Lonchura striata: one gene and its partner. The protein of the gene in region 2 purifies or fractionates together with the protein of the main gene of each other region. This does not show direct contact. Links are inferred from orthologs where the notes say so. Each region holds a gene or a part of one and is shown on either strand. Other genes may lie near its edges.

The links. Proteins that work in one complex are often made in the same cells at the same time.
Region 1: the proteins of PRMT1 (region 2) and CHTOP purify together in Homo sapiens (affinity purification with western blotting; 7 studies listed by BioGRID and IntAct, with this or other methods). This does not show direct contact. The link is inferred for Lonchura striata from reciprocal best matches to the Homo sapiens genes PRMT1 and CHTOP.

The regions. Positions count from the first base shown.
Region 1 is NC_134635.1:3,147,167-3,154,354, forward strand, and holds the start of CHTOP (chromatin target of PRMT1 protein), read right to left. Parts: upstream 3,015-7,188; 5' UTR 2,837-3,014; intron 1,569-2,836; 5' UTR 1,558-1,568; coding exon 1,493-1,557; intron 1-1,492. Other genes in the region: S100A1 (protein S100-A1), read right to left, coding at 4,214-4,357, 4,457-4,597. UniProt on the Homo sapiens protein: Plays an important role in the ligand-dependent activation of estrogen receptor target genes. May play a role in the silencing of fetal globin genes.
Region 2 is NC_134640.1:2,740,174-2,747,656, reverse strand, and holds the start of PRMT1 (protein arginine N-methyltransferase 1), read left to right. Parts: upstream 1-4,467; 5' UTR 4,468-4,488; coding exon 4,489-4,518; intron 4,519-5,996; coding exon 5,997-6,050; intron 6,051-7,483. Other genes in the region: DNA polymerase delta catalytic subunit, read left to right, coding at 485-598, 1,478-1,530, 2,358-2,455, 3,822-3,918. UniProt on the Homo sapiens protein: Arginine methyltransferase that methylates (mono and asymmetric dimethylation) the guanidino nitrogens of arginyl residues present in proteins such as ESR1, histone H2, H3 and H4, FMR1, ILF3, HNRNPA1, HNRNPD, NFATC2IP, SUPT5H, TAF15, EWS, HABP4, SERBP1, RBM15, FOXO1, CHTOP, MAP3K5/ASK1, MICU1 and NPRL2.

The DNA.
Region 1 (7,188 bases), on a different chromosome or scaffold from region 2:
TTTGTGGTGTTTTTTTTCTCCATGGACGCAGCGAGGCGGAAAATAAAACTCCTCAGCAGCACCCCAGCAGCTTCCTGGGAGCTGGCGAACAAAACCCATCCTAAAAACGAGGAGTTTGGTCTGACGGGGGGGAAGGGGCAGCAAGGTGTCCCTGAGCTGCCTGCAGGGAGCAAAAGCTGCCCCATTCCAGGGTGTTTAACCCCAAAATGCTCACTGGGACAGTGGCTGCTCCATTCCAGGGTGTTTAACCCCAAAATGCTCACTGGGACAGTGGTTACACCATGGCAGCGTGTTTAACCCCAAAATGCTCAGTGGGAGAGTGGCTGCCCCATTTCAGGGTGTTTAACCCCAAAATACTCACTGGGACAGTGGTTACCCCATGGCAGCGTGTTTAACCCCAAAATACTCACTGGGACAGTGGTTACCCCATGGCAGCGTGTTTAACCCCAAAATGCTCAGTGGGAGAGTGGCTGCCCCATTCCAGGGTGTTTAACCCCAAAATGCTCAGTAGGACAGTGGCTGCCCCATTTCAGGGTGTTTAACCCCAAAATGCTCAGTGGGAGAGTGGCTGCCCCATTTCAGGGTGTTTAACCCCAAAATACTCACTGGGACAGTGGTTACCCCATGGCAGCGTGTGTAACCCAAAAATGCTCAGTGGGAGAGTGGCTGCCCCATTTCAGGGTGTTTAACCCCAAAATGCTCAGTAGGACAGTGGCTGCTCCATTCCAGGGTGTTTAACCCCAGAATGCTCAGTGGGATGGTGGTTACCCCATGGCAGCGTGTTTAACCCCAAAATGCTCAGTGGGACAGTGGCTGCTCCATTCCAGGGTGTTTAACCCCAAAATGCTCAGTGGGACAGTAGCTGCTCCATTCCAGTGTTTAACCCCAAAATGCTCAGTGGCAGAGCAGCTGCCCCAGGCCAGCGTGTTTAACCCCAAAATGCTCAGCAGGACACCCGTTAGTCGTCACAGAGGAGCCACACGTGGAGAAACCCAGCGGAATGACCCACGGGAAGAGCTCGAGGACAGAGAGAGATGGAGGTGAAGCGAAGCTGGTGCCTCTTACAAGGCCCAGAAGAGCCTTTGGGCCGGTTCCGGGGCCGCCGCCGGCCTCTTACAGGGCCCACCCGGGCGGGTGGGAGCCTCGGGCGCGGCAGCAGAGCCAAAATACCAATGTCAAAACATGTGGGAGAGACAGGGAGGGTGTGAGGCTGGTCTCTGCTCTTACAACAACACATCCCACCGGATTTACGAGGCGAATCAACACTAAACACGGAGCAATCCCTCCGGGATTTTTGGCCCTTTTAACCTTGCGTGCCGCAGGGGTCGGAGGGTAAGGCGGGGGTGGAGGCACCCGCTCGCTCGACGAGGTTAAAAGAGGGCGGAAACCACGGTGGGTTTTTGGATTTTTGGATAGTGAGAATTAAGTAAAAAAAAAAAAAAAAAATTATATATGATTTCTTAGGAGCTGAAGGTGCCGTTGGCTTCCTCACCGCTCGTTCAGAGACATCTTGGTGGTGCTCTTTAGCACGACCTTCGGTGCTGACTGTGCAGCCATCTTCAGAGAATCTGCAAAACAGGGCCCAGAAGGGAAAATTTAGACATTTATTACACATTTATACTGCAAAATACTAAACATCCCTTCCGTTCTGCCTCTTTGGGTGAAGGAAATCAAGATTAGGGCAGGTTATGTGCAATATATTCATTTTTCCCCACTGATTTTTAGCCCTCTGCCAGAATTTTTCTGTTCTGATTCTGGGATTTTGAATGCTTTTTGGTCTTCTCCCGGTTTTAATAAATCAGGGAGTTCCTTTATTTCTCCCTTACCAAAAATATATCATTTTACAGTGAATGCTTCAGCAATATTAGGAAAAATAACACAAAAATCCAGGAGCAAGATGGCAACCAAATGCCACCTCCAGAGCAAAGATGCAAAACAGAATCCAAGACATCAAATTAAAACAATTATTACGTATTTACATGATTAAACATTAAAAAACTTCTGCTCTCTGTGGAGAGAACTAAGAGTGAGGCTAGTTATAGGTATTGTATTTATGCATTTTTAATGTTTTCTAGCCCTCTACCAGGTTTAATAAAAAAGGGAGTTATTTTAATTTACCTTTAGTAAAAATTTATATTTTTACAGTGAATACCTTATCGTTTTTCTGAGTAATAACATACAAATCCAGGTGTAAATAGCACCCAAACGCCTTTTGCACACTGACACCTCCACATTTCCCGTGTTCTTAGCATGACCAAGGTGCAAACCCCAATTTTAAGGGCACAGGGAATAAAAATCCAAGACGATGCTACAAAAGCATCGTACCCTTTAAAAACATGGAGGTTCCAATTCCCTCAGGGTAGGGATTTAAATCCCCCCCCAGTGCTGGATGCTACAGAAACACGCTGGGCTCCAACCCCCGAGCTCTGCAGATCGATTTATTAATTTATTTTATAATTAGCAGCAAATCGAATGAGTGGATGACGGCCGGGATGCGTTTATTCTATAGTACCCTGAAAAAAACGTTTTATTGAGAGGATTTACAACCAGAAACTGAGACAACAGAAAGCCTCATTGCTGCTTGAAACTAATTATAATAATTTTGTTTTAATATACAGCAGCTTCTTCAATTTGAAGTGGTTCTTAAAGCATTTTTCTTCCTGAGGATTAAAAAAAAATAAAAACAAACCGCTCCGCCTCCCGCAGGCCCGGCTCCGGAGGAAAAGCCCCGACCGTGAGGGGCTCTCCGGGCTATGAGGGGGCCCTGAGGGGACCCCCCGGCCCTCAGGAGCGGCCCCCGGCGCCCCGCCCCCGCGCAGCCGGGCCGGTCACTCACCGAAGCACACGGTCGCCAGGTCTCCGGTGGCTCGGCCAGCAGGCGGGCGGGCGGGCGGGCGGGTGAGTGAGTGCGGGGCCGGTGTGGGGCCGGCGCGGGCCGGGGCTGGCGCTGAGCTCCGCCCGCCGCCGCCGCTGCCGCTTCTCCCTCAGCCGCCCGCGACAAAATGGCGCCGGCGCCGCTCCCGCCCCCGCCGAAATGGCGGCCGCGCTCCCGGCCACGCCCACCGCCGCGCGAGCCCCCCCGGGCCGGGCGGTGATTGGTGGAGCGGCGGAGGGGGCGGGGAAAGGGGCGGGGCTGAGGGAGAGGCGGGAACGTTCTGGCGGGAGTAGGGGTGGAGTCCCCGTGACGTCATAGAGAGCGGTGTCGTCATGGTCACGTCATGGAAACGTCATGAAACCGTCATGGAACCGTCATGGAACCGTCATGGAACCGTGGGATGAGGGAGTCAGGGGGGTCAAGGAACCGTGGAGTCATGGAGCTGTGGAGTCACGGAGTCACGCGGTGCTGGGATCCCCACGTCCCACGGAATTGTGTCAGCTTTATCAGCTCCTCTGTCAGCTCCATGGAATCTTGGAATTATGGAATCACAAAATGCTCAGCTGTGGAATCATATAGGATCCAGGCGTTAGGGAGTTGCGGAGTTGGAAGGGGTCTGTAAGGACCGTGGAGTCCCCTGCCCATGACACTCCTGGTGTCCCACCATGTCCCTGGGAGCACTGCCCAGCTGCTCCTTGACCCCTGTCCCGTGCCCCTGTCCCGATGTCCATCCCACCCAGGCAGGGCCGATCCCAAGCCGGGATGGCGGGCAGATGATGGCGCTGGTGGCCCTGGTGGGGCCCTTGGCCACCGTCCCATCCCAGTGGGCTGGGAGATCCCAACCGGTTCCTCCAGCCCCGCGGGAGCAGTGCTGGCGCCTCCGGAGCCACCGGCAGCGAGTCCCGGCCTGTCACCCCCTTCCCAAATCCCGGGGCTCCCGTGTCCCACACCCTGACACCGGCCGGGATCCCCCGCCCTGGGGTCACCCTGCCCCGGGCGGTCGGGGCGGATCCCAGGGTGAATCCCAGGGTGGATCCCGGGTGGATCCCAGGGTGGATCCTGGGGTGGAGCCAGGGCTGTCTCCAGGCTTCTGGGGTGACCCAGGCTGGCTTTTCCCTGTGCGCCCAGAGTGGGATATTCCCAGGGGATGGGGCAGGAATCCCGAGCAGGAATGAAGGAAGGAGCTGACGCACACGGACACACCTCGGGCAGGGTTGTGCCTTTATTGTGCAGCTGGATCCCAGTGGGATCCCCTGGGAATGCTGAGGGGGTGAGCCGGAGGGTGGCGGGGGGGCTCTGGATTTTGGGAGCCCACGTCCTGCTGCGGCAGGAGGGGGGTCAGGCGTTCTCCCAGAAGAAGTTGTTGCAGGCCACGGTCAGAGCGGCCACCAGGACCACAAATTCCTGGAAATCCACCTCCCCGTCGCCGTTCTCATCCAGGTCCTGCATGATCTTCTCCACGGCCCCCGCGTCCTTCTGGGTCTGGGGGGGACACAGGGTGAGCCCTGGGGCTGGGCAGCCGCTGTTCCCCCGGGGAACGGGGAAAGGGAGACCCCCGCACCCCAAACTGGTCCCAGTTACCTCCAGGAAACATCCCAGCTCGCTCTGCAGCAGCTCCTTGAGCTCCTTCTTGCTCAGCTTGTACTTGTCCCCCTCCTTGCCCGAGTAGTGGTGGAACACATTGATCAGGGTCTCCATGGCCCCTTCCAGCTGCGATCCCATGGCTGTGGCTGCGGGACCCCCAGCACGTCACCCACCGGCCCCCCCGTCTCGGTGCCACCCCCACATGTCACCCACCCGCGGCCGCGGTCCCCCTGGGCAGGACTGGGGGGGTTCCCAGGGGCTGGGCGGGGAGGTTTGGGGGGGACGGGGACACCTGTGCTCACCTGAGCTCCCCGTGCTCCGAGTGCGCCCGCCCGGCCCGGCCGGGCCCGTTAAATAAGCTCCAAGCCCCCTCCCTCCGGGAGGATCCGATACCGGGGCTGGGCAGCCCGGCTGGCACCGCCGGCCAGCCCCGCGGGGCCGGGCGTGGGGGGCACAACCCCGGCCTGGCCCCGGGGACACGGCTGGGGAGACAGCCCCACTTCAGGGGGGCTCCCCGTGCCACCCCCGAGCGCCCCTCGCCGCCCCCGGGATGTGGAAAAACCGGGGATGTAGGGAGGGCCGGCACGGGCACGGGCACCGGCACGGGCACGGGCACCGGCACGGGCACCGGCACGGGCACCGGCATGGGCACGGGCACCGGCACGGGCACCGGCACCGGCACCGGCATGGGCACGGGCACGGGCACTGGCACCGGCACCGGCACCGGCACGGGCACCGGCACGGGCACCGGGGTCCCCCGCCGGGCTCAGTGCCCGGCGCCCCCGCCGGTGGCCGCGGTGGCCACGCCGTGACCCCGCGGGGGCACCGCCGGCATCCCCCGTCCGTCAGCGCCGCGGGGCCGGGGCCGCGGCCAGCCCCGCTCCCGGGGCCGATGAAGGGATCCGGTGTCCTCGGAGCGGCCGCGGGGCCGGCGGGGCCCGGGGGGAGCGGCGGGGGCTATCGGGTGACTCCGCGGGGGCCCCCCGCGCTCAAAGGACTCTTGTCCGGCTGAAAAGGCCCCACAATCCCGAGCCCGGCGTTGCTGCAGCAACGCCTCGGCCAGGAAACCGGACTCCGAGCCGGCCCGGGTGATGCTGATAATCCGCGGATCCCGTTACGGCCCCGGATCCGCGCGGGATGGAGCCCGCAGCCTGCCCGGCTCCGGCATCCCCGGGGAGATCAGCTCCCGAATTCCTCAGCCCCCGAATTCCTCAGCCCTCAAATTCCTGATCCCCCAAATTCCTGATCCCTCAAATGCTTCAGCCCCCAAATTCCTCAGCCCCCAAATGCTTCAGTCCCCAAATTCCTGATCCCCCGAATTCCTGATCCCCCAGATTCCTGATCACCCCAATTCCTCAACCCCAAGTGCTTCAGCCCCCAGATCCCTCAGCCTCCCTCAGGATTGGGACCCCCTCAAACAGGAGCTGCATTTTCAGCAGGGCCGGGTGGTGCCGGGCTCCTCATGCCGGGTTCCAGCCCTAATTTGGGGCTAATTACATCCTGTTGCCTCTGCTTCCACCTCCCTCACTTCCCGTCCCTGCGGCTGAGGATGGGCCCTGCCTGGGCACCCCAAAACTGCCTGGGCACCCTCCCCAGCGCCCAGGGAATGGGGAAACTGGGGGGTCCCCAAGCAGAGGAGGGGTCCCAGCTGGAATTGCGAGTTCCAGAGAGGAGCAGGGATCCCAAAGGGCGGCTCAGGAGCTGCCTCCCAGCAGGACCCGGCTCCATCCCTGGGGCTCCGGGAGGGGCCGGATCCCCAAATCCCGAGGCTGGGCATGGGGGCACTGGGAGGGGCCCGTGGCACTCACTCGCCGTGTCCCGGTCCCCGAGCGGCGGGCAGGATTCCGGGAACGCCCGGGAGAGTCACCGGGCCAGCAGCTGCTCGTGACAGGGACGGGCATTGCCCAAAAATAACCCCGACCCCGGTCCCTGCCAGGGGACAGAGGGGACAGGGCCAGGACTGCGGGCAGCGGCACGGCCGCAGTGTCCGAGGGACAGCGGGACCCCCAAACCCTTCGGGACAGCAGCCCCAGGGCGAACCCCAGCACTGGGGGGGTCCCGAGGGGTCCCGGGGGGTCCCGGACCCTGCGGCCGGGGCAGAGCGCGCCCAGCACGGCTGGCAGATTCCCAGGACGAGCTCTGGGAAGCGGGAGCAGTGAGGGACATGCCAGGAGCTTTACACACAGCTTGGAACAGGTTTCAGCCACTGCGACTCCCCTGCTCCACTTTGACCCAGCTAAACCAGTCGCTCCAGTTCCCGGTGCTGGGCTGGGCCCATCTTGTCTCCCCATCCCATCGCCGGGGCTCTGGAAGAGGCTTTGGAGAGGGAGGAGCTGCGGTGGCCGCGCTGGGGACCCCGCGGTGGCTCCGGGCTCCTGCCGCGGCCCCTGGGTCCCTGCAGCGAGCCCCGATGGGGCCAGCAGGGGCCACTGCCGGGCTGGGCACCGCGCTGGACACGGTCACCATCCCTGGTGGGGCCACACCGGCTGTGGAGAACCCCAGGACCAGGATGTGGAAGTGGACACTGAGCCCCTGCACATGGTCACCCTGTCACACGGGGTCCTGTGGTCCTATATGGCCCGAGTCCCGAATGATCCCATTCCTATTCCTGTATAGCCCAAGTCCCTGTACGATCCCATTCCTGTCCCTATATGGCCCAAGTCCTTATATGGTTCTGTCCCTGACCCTGTATGGCTCGAGTTCCTATATGATCCTGTCCTTATATGGCC
Region 2 (7,483 bases):
GGCTCCCTGTGACTCCGGGATTTTTGGGGGGGTTTTGGGGGGATTTTGGGGGATTTTTGGGGATTTTGGGGGTCCCTGAGCCCGAATTTCCCCGCAGAGGGGGAGCACATGCAGTGCAAGACCCTCGGGTCTGGGGGGATTTTGGGTGTCCTGGGATGGATTTTTGGGGGGATTTTGGGGGTTTTTGGGGCTCTCTGTGCCCCCGGGATTTTTGGGGGGGTTTTGGGGGAATTTTGGGGGATTTTGGGGGATTTTGGGGGTCCCTGAGCCCGAATTTCCCCGCAGAGGGGGAGCACACCCGCTGCAGGACCCTCGGGTCCGGGGGGATTTTGGGTGTTCTGGGATGGATTTTTGGGGGGATTTTGGGAGGTTTTGGGGCTCCCTGTGACTCCGGGATTTTTGGGGGGATTTTGGGGGATTTTTGGGGGGATTTTGGGGGATTTTGGGGGATTTTGGGGGTCCCTGAGCCCGAATTTCCCCGCAGAGGGGGAGCACACCCGCTGCAAGACCCTCCTGACCGCCCGCTCCGGGGCGCTCTCGGCCTTCACCTCCAAGCGCAGCAGCTGCATCGGCTGCCGGGCCCTGCTGCCCCACCACGGTGAGACCCCCTCATTAACCAGTTAATTAGCCCCCGCACTAATTAACCCCTAATTAGTCACCTCGGGGTGGAATTCACCCGGTTTTGCAAAAAAAAACGGGTCAGAAACGGTCAAAATCCCCAAAACTGAACCTGAAAAAAGGGGATACTCGGAATGGAGCCCCCTCCTCAAATTAATTACCAGAATGCCTGCCCTAATTAATGGGCCCTGCTCTAATTAACGGGCCCTGCCCTAATTAACTCTAATTAATCCCCTCCAGCTGGAATAAACCTGGTTTTACCAAAAAAAAACGGGTCCAGAATGGCCAAAATCCCCAAAATTCGACCTCGAAAAATGGGATTCTGGGAATTGAAGCCCCCTCCCCAAATTAATCACCAGAATGCCTGCCCTAATTAACGGGCCCTGCGCTAATTAACTCTAATTAATCCCCTCCGGCTGGAATTAACCTGGTTTTACCAAAATAAACGGGTCCAGAATGGCCAAAATCCCCGAAATTCCACCTCAAAAAAGGGGATCCTCATAATTAAAGCCCCCTCGCCAAGTTAACCAAGCCTAATTAACAACCCCGCCCCTAATTAACGACCCCAACCCTAATTAACGACCCCGACCCGAAATTTCCCATCCCCGAAATTAATCCCTTTTCCCCAAAATGGGGGTCCAGGACCCCCAAAATTCCCAAAATTCAGCACAAACATCCCCAAAACTGGGGGGGCTGGAGCCCCAAAATCCCCAAAGTCAAGTCCCTTCCCCAAATTAACAAAAAATTATAATTTAAATCGTTAATAACTAATTAATACCTCCATAATTTAACCCATCCTGCCCAAAAATTTGGGGTCCCGGAGCCCCAAATTCACCCAAAATGGACCCAAAATCCGCAGGTGCAGTTTGCGATTTCTGCCGCCAGAGGGAGTCCGAGCTCTACCAGAAAGAGGTGGGGGGGGCTGGGTCCGAAATTTGGGGTTAAATTTGGGGTTTTGGGGTTAAAATTGGGATTTTGGGGTTAAAATTTGGGATTTTGGGGTTAAAATTGGGATTTTGGGGGTTAAATTTGGGATTTGGGGGTTTAAATTTGGGATTTTGGGGGTTTAAATTTGGGATTTTGGGGGTTTAAAGTTGGGATTTTGTGGTTTTGGTCCCGAATTTGGGGTTTGGGGGGTTTTGGGGTTTTAAATTTGAGATTTTGGGGGTTTTGCGGTTTTGAATTTGGGATTTTGGGCTCCCGAATTTGGGGTTTTGGTTTTGGGGGACCCAAATTTTGGGTGGATGGGTTGGGGATATTTTGGGGTTATTATGGGATGTTTCTCAGGTGAGCCAGGTGTGGCAGCTGGAGGGGTTTTGGGGATATTTTGGGGATATTTTGGGATATTTTGGGGTTATTATGGGATGTTTCTCAGGTGAGCCAGGTGTGGCAGCTGGAGGGATTTTGGATATTTTGGGGATATTTTGGGATGTTTTGAGGATATTTTGGGGATATTTTGGATATTTTGGATATTTTGGGATATTTTGGGATATTTTGGATATTTTGGGATATTTTGGGATATTTTGGATATTTTGGATATTTTGGGATGTTTCTCAGGTGAGCCAGGTGTGGCAGCTGGATGTGTTTGGGATATTTTGGGGATATTTTGGGATATTTTGGGGGTTATTATGGGATGTTGCTCAGGTGAGCCAGGTGTGGCAGCTGGATGTGTTTGGAATATTTTGGGATGTTTTGGGGATATTTTGGATATTTTGGGGATATTTTGGGGTGTTGCTCAGGTGAGCCAGGTGTGGCAGCTGGAGCGCAGCTTCGCCCGGCTCTGGAGCCAGTGCCAGCGGTGCCAGGGCTCCCTGCTGCAGGACGTGCTCTGCTCCAGGTACACCTGGGCACACCTGAGGGGCACCTGGGGCACCTGTGTGTCACACCTGTCACCTGTGTGTCACCTGTGTCACCTGTGTCACACCTGTGCCACCTGGGTCACCTCCTGTGTCACCTGTGTGGCACCTGTGTGTCACCTGTGTGTCACCTGTGTGTCACACCTGTCACCTGTGTCACCACCTGTGTCACCTCACCTGGGTCACCTGTGTCACCTGTGTCACCTGTGTGTCACCTGTGTGTCACCTCCTGTCACCTGTGTGTCACCTCCTGTGTCACCTGTGTGTCACCTGTGTCACCTGTGTCACCTGAGCCCTGTCTGTGTCACCTGTGTCACACCTGTGTGTCACCTGTCATTATCCCCATGCCACACCTGTGTCACCTGTGTGTCACACCTGTCACCTGTGTCACCATCCCTGTGTCACACCTGTGTGTCACCTGTGTCACCTGAACCCTCTGTGTGTCACACCTGTGTCACCTGTGTCACCTGAACCCTCTGTGTGTCTCACCTGTGTCACCTGTGTCACCTCACTCAGGTCCCCTCAGTCACCCCCAAATGTCCCAAAATCCCCAAATCCTCCTAAAATCCCCCAAACCCGCCCAGTCCTGAAATGTCCCAAAGTCCCCAAATCCCCCCAAATCCCCCCAAAAAACCCAAATGTCCCCAAATCCCCCCAAAATCCCCCAAATCCCCCAAAAAAACCCAAATGTCCCCAAATCCCCCAAAATCCCCCAAATCCCCTCAAAAACCCCAAATGTCCCCAAATCCCCAAATCCCCCAAAATCCCCCAAACTCCCCCCAAAAAACCCAAATCCCCAAAGGTACCAAAATGTCCCCCAGTCCTGAAATGTCCCAAAAAACCCCAAAATTCCCAAATGTCCCAAAAAACCCCAAAATCCCCAAATGTCCCAAAAATCCCCAAAATCCCCAAATGTCCCAAAAATCCCCAAAATCCCCAAATGTCCCAAAACCGCCCAATCCCCCAAAATCCCCAAATCTCCCCAAATCTCCCCAAATCCCCAAGTGTCCCCAAATGTCCCCAAATCCCCTCAAATCCCCAAATGTCTCAAAACCCCCCAAAATCCCCCAAACTCCCCCAATCCTGAAATATCCAAAAAACCCCAAAAATCCCCAAATCCCCCAAAATCCTCCAAATCCGCCCAATATCCCCTGAATCTCCCAAAATCCCCAAATGCTCCCAAATCCCCAAATGTCACAATATCCCCCGAATCCCCCCAATCCTGAAACCCCCCAAAATCCCCAAAAACCCCCAAAATCCCCAAAAAACTCCCAAAATCCCCTAAAATCCCCCCAAAATCCCCCCAAAACCCCAAAATCCCCTAAAATCCCCCCAAAATCCCCGCAGCCGGGACTGCCCCATTTTCTACATGCGCCGCAAGGTGCAGAAGGACCTGGAGGCGCAGCAGGAGCTGCTCCGGCGCTTCGGGGAGCCCGACTGGTGACCCCAAAATCCCCCAAATCCGCCCCAAAACCCCAAAATTTGGGATTTTCGGGGCCCACTCACCCCCCCAGCCCCGGCTTTTTGTATGGGAAGTTTAATAAAGAGCGAGTTTCTAGTGATTCCGTGTGGTTCTCTATCGGTTTTTTGAGGTTTTATGGGTTTTTTAATAATTTTGGGGGGGGTTTTTTGGAGTTTTTTGGGGATTTTTTTGGGTTTTTGGGATTTTTTGGTGTTTTCAGGAGGAATTTGCATTGATCGCTGCGGCCGCTAGGCGGCGCTGCGCGGGAGGCGTGGCTTGCTGATTGACACCTCCCCCGCCCAATCAGCGCGCAGAACCGCCCCGCCGCGCCGACCCGCGGGCGTGGCCTCGCTTTCACCCATGACTGACAACCCCCCCGCCCAATCAGCGCTGCGGGGCGTGGGCTAAGCCTGATGGGCGTGGGCGCCGCCCAATCATCACGCGGCGAGCGGGAAGCGGCGGCCAATGGGGAGGCGCGCGAGGGGGCCGGCGGCGGCCCCGCCCCCGCTATAAAAGGCCGCGGCGCTGAGGGCCGCCGCTGGCGCTCACAAGATGGCGGAGGCGGCCAATTGCACCATGGAGGTGAGAGCGGCGGCGGCGGCGCGGGAAACGCCGGGCCTGAGGGCAGAGCGGGCCCGGGCGGGCGGGGAGGGCGCTGGGGGGGCTCGGCGATGGCGGGGGGCGGCTCTGAGGGGATTGGGGCGGCTCTGAGGGGCTCTGAGGGGATTGGGGGGGGTTTGAATTGCTCTGAGGGGATGGGGGGAGCTCTGAGGGGCTCTGAGGGGATTTTTGAGGTTCTGAGGGGATTTTTGGGGCTCTGAGGGGATTTTTGGGGCTCTGAGGGGTTTTGAGGGGATTTGTGAGTCTCTGAGGGGCTCTGAGGGATTTCAGTGAGGCCTGGGGTTTTTTATGGAATTTTGGAGGATTTTAATGAAATTTTGGGGGTTTAAATGAAATCTCGGGGTTTTAAATGAAATTCTGGGGGATTTTAGTGAGAATTTGGGGGTTTTAGTGAGATTTTGGGGATATTAGTGAGATTTTGGGGGTTTTAGATAGATTTTGGGGGTTTTAGTGAGATTCTGGGGGTTTTAGTAAGATTTTGGGTTTTTATGAAATTTTGGGGGTTTTAGTGAGATTTTGGGGGTTTCAGTGAGATTTCGGGGATTTTAGTGAGATTTTGAGTTTTTTTATGAAATTCTGGGGGATTTTAGTGAGATTTTGGGGGTTTTAGTGAGATTTTGTTTTTTTTAATGAAATTCTGGGGGGTTTTAGTGAGATTTTGGGGGTTTTAATGAGATTTTGGGGTTTTAGTGAGGATTTGGGGTTTTTAGTAAGGTTTTGGGGTTTTTACTGAGGATTTGGGGGTTTTTATGAAATTTTTGGGGTTTTTATGAAATTTTGGGGGATTTTAATGAGGTTTTGAGTGAGATTTTGGGGTTTTTAGTGACGTTTGGGGGATTTTAATGAGGTTTTGGGGGGCTTAATTAACTTGAGGGGGTTTAATGAGGTTGGGGGTGTTTTGTCGTGACTGGGGGGGGACACAGGAGCAAATTCCCAGGGACCCCAAAATTTTGGGTCTGGGACCCCAAAATTCCCAGGGACCCCAAAATTTTGGGTCTGGGACCCCCCCAGGTTTCCAGGGACCCCCAAAATCTGGGTTGTAACCCCCCCAAATCTCCTCTGACCCCCAAAATTTGGGGTTTCAGTCCTCCCCTTCCTCAAAGTCGCCCCAAATTTTGGTCCTGACCCCCCTAAACCACCAAAATTTGGGGTCTTGAGCCCCTATATCCCCTCTGCCCCCCAAAAATGGGATCGTGACCCCCAAAAATTGGGCTTGTGACCCCCCACCCCATTTTAGGGTCCCCCAGCCCCATTTTAGGCTCTCCAACCCCAATTTAGGGACCTCCCACCCCTTTTTTAGGGACCCCCAACCCATTTTTGGGGTCATTCACCCCATTTTTAGGCTCCCCCCACGCCGATTTTGGGGTGCCCACCCCAATTTTGGGGTGCCCGGCCGGTTTTGGGGTGCCCGGTGACGTCTCTCGTTCCTCTTTCCCCAGAATTTTGTAGCCACCCTGGCTAACGGGATGAGCCTGCGGCCGCCTCGGGAGGAAGTAAATATTCCCCAAAAACCCCCAAAATCCGGGAAAAACCCAAATTCTGCCCCAAAAAACCCCAAAATCCGGGAAAAACCCAAATTCTGCCCCAAAAAAACCCCAAAATCCGGGAAGAACCCAAATTCTGCCCCAAAACCCGGGAAAAACCCAAATTCTGCCCCAAAATCTGGGAAAAACCCAAATTCTGCCCTAAAAAACACCCAAAATCCAGGAAAAATCCAAATTCTGCCCCAAAACCCGGGAAAAACCCAAATTCTGCCCCAAAACACCCCCAAAATCCGGGAAAAACCCAAATTCTGCCCCAAAATCTGGGAAAAACCCAAATTCTGCCCCAAAAAAACCCCGAAATCCGGGAAAAACCCAAATTCTGCCCCAAAAAAAACCCCAAAATCTGGGAAAAATAAACATCCAGTCCCAAAATCCGGGAAAAATCCTGAAATTCTGGGGGGAAAAATCCCCAATCCAGCCCAAAAACCCCCAAAATCCAGGAAAAACCCAAATTCTGCCCCCAAAAACCCCAAAATCCGGGAAAAATCCAAATTCTGCCCCAAAACACCCCCAAAATCCGGGAAGAACCCAAATTCTGCCCCAAAACCCGGGAAAAACCCGAATTCTGCCCCAAAATCTGGGAAAAACCCAAATTCTGCCCCAAAAAACACCCAAAATCCGGGAAAAACCCAAATTCTGCCCCAAAAAAAACCTGAAATCCAGGAAAAACCCAAATTCTGCCCCAAAATCCGGGAAAAATCCAAATTCTGCCCCAAAAAAAACCCGAAATCCGGGGAAAACCCAAATTCTGCCCCCAAAAAACCCCAAAATCCGGGAAAAACCCAAATTCTGCCCCAAAACCCAGAAAAAACCCAAATTCTGCCCCAAAAACCCCCAAAATCCGGGAAAAACCCAAATTCTGCCCCAAAAACCCCCAAAATCCGGGAAAAACCCAAATTCTGCCCCAAAACCCGGGAAAAACCCAAATTCTGCCTCAAAATCCAGGAAAAACCCAAATTCTGCCCCCAAAAACCCCAAAATCCGGGAAAAACCCAAATTCTGCCCCAAAATCTGGGAAAAACCCAAATTCTGCCCCAGAAAACCCCAAAATACGGGAAAAACCCAAATTCTGCCCCAAAACCCGGGAAAAATCCAAATTCTGCCCCAAAAAAAACCCGAAATCCGGGGAAAAGCCAAATTCTGCCCCAAAACACCCCAAAATCCGGGAAAAACCCAAATTCTGCCCCAGAAAACCCCAAAATCCGGGAAAACCCAAATTCTGCCCCAAAAAACCCCAAAATCCAGGAAAAATCCAAATTCTGCCCCAAAACAGCCCAAAATCTGGGAAAAACCCAAATTCTGCCCCAAAATCCGGGGAAAAACCAAAATTCTGGGGGATAAAGTGAAATTCTGGGGAAAAGAAAACCCAAATGCAGCCCCAA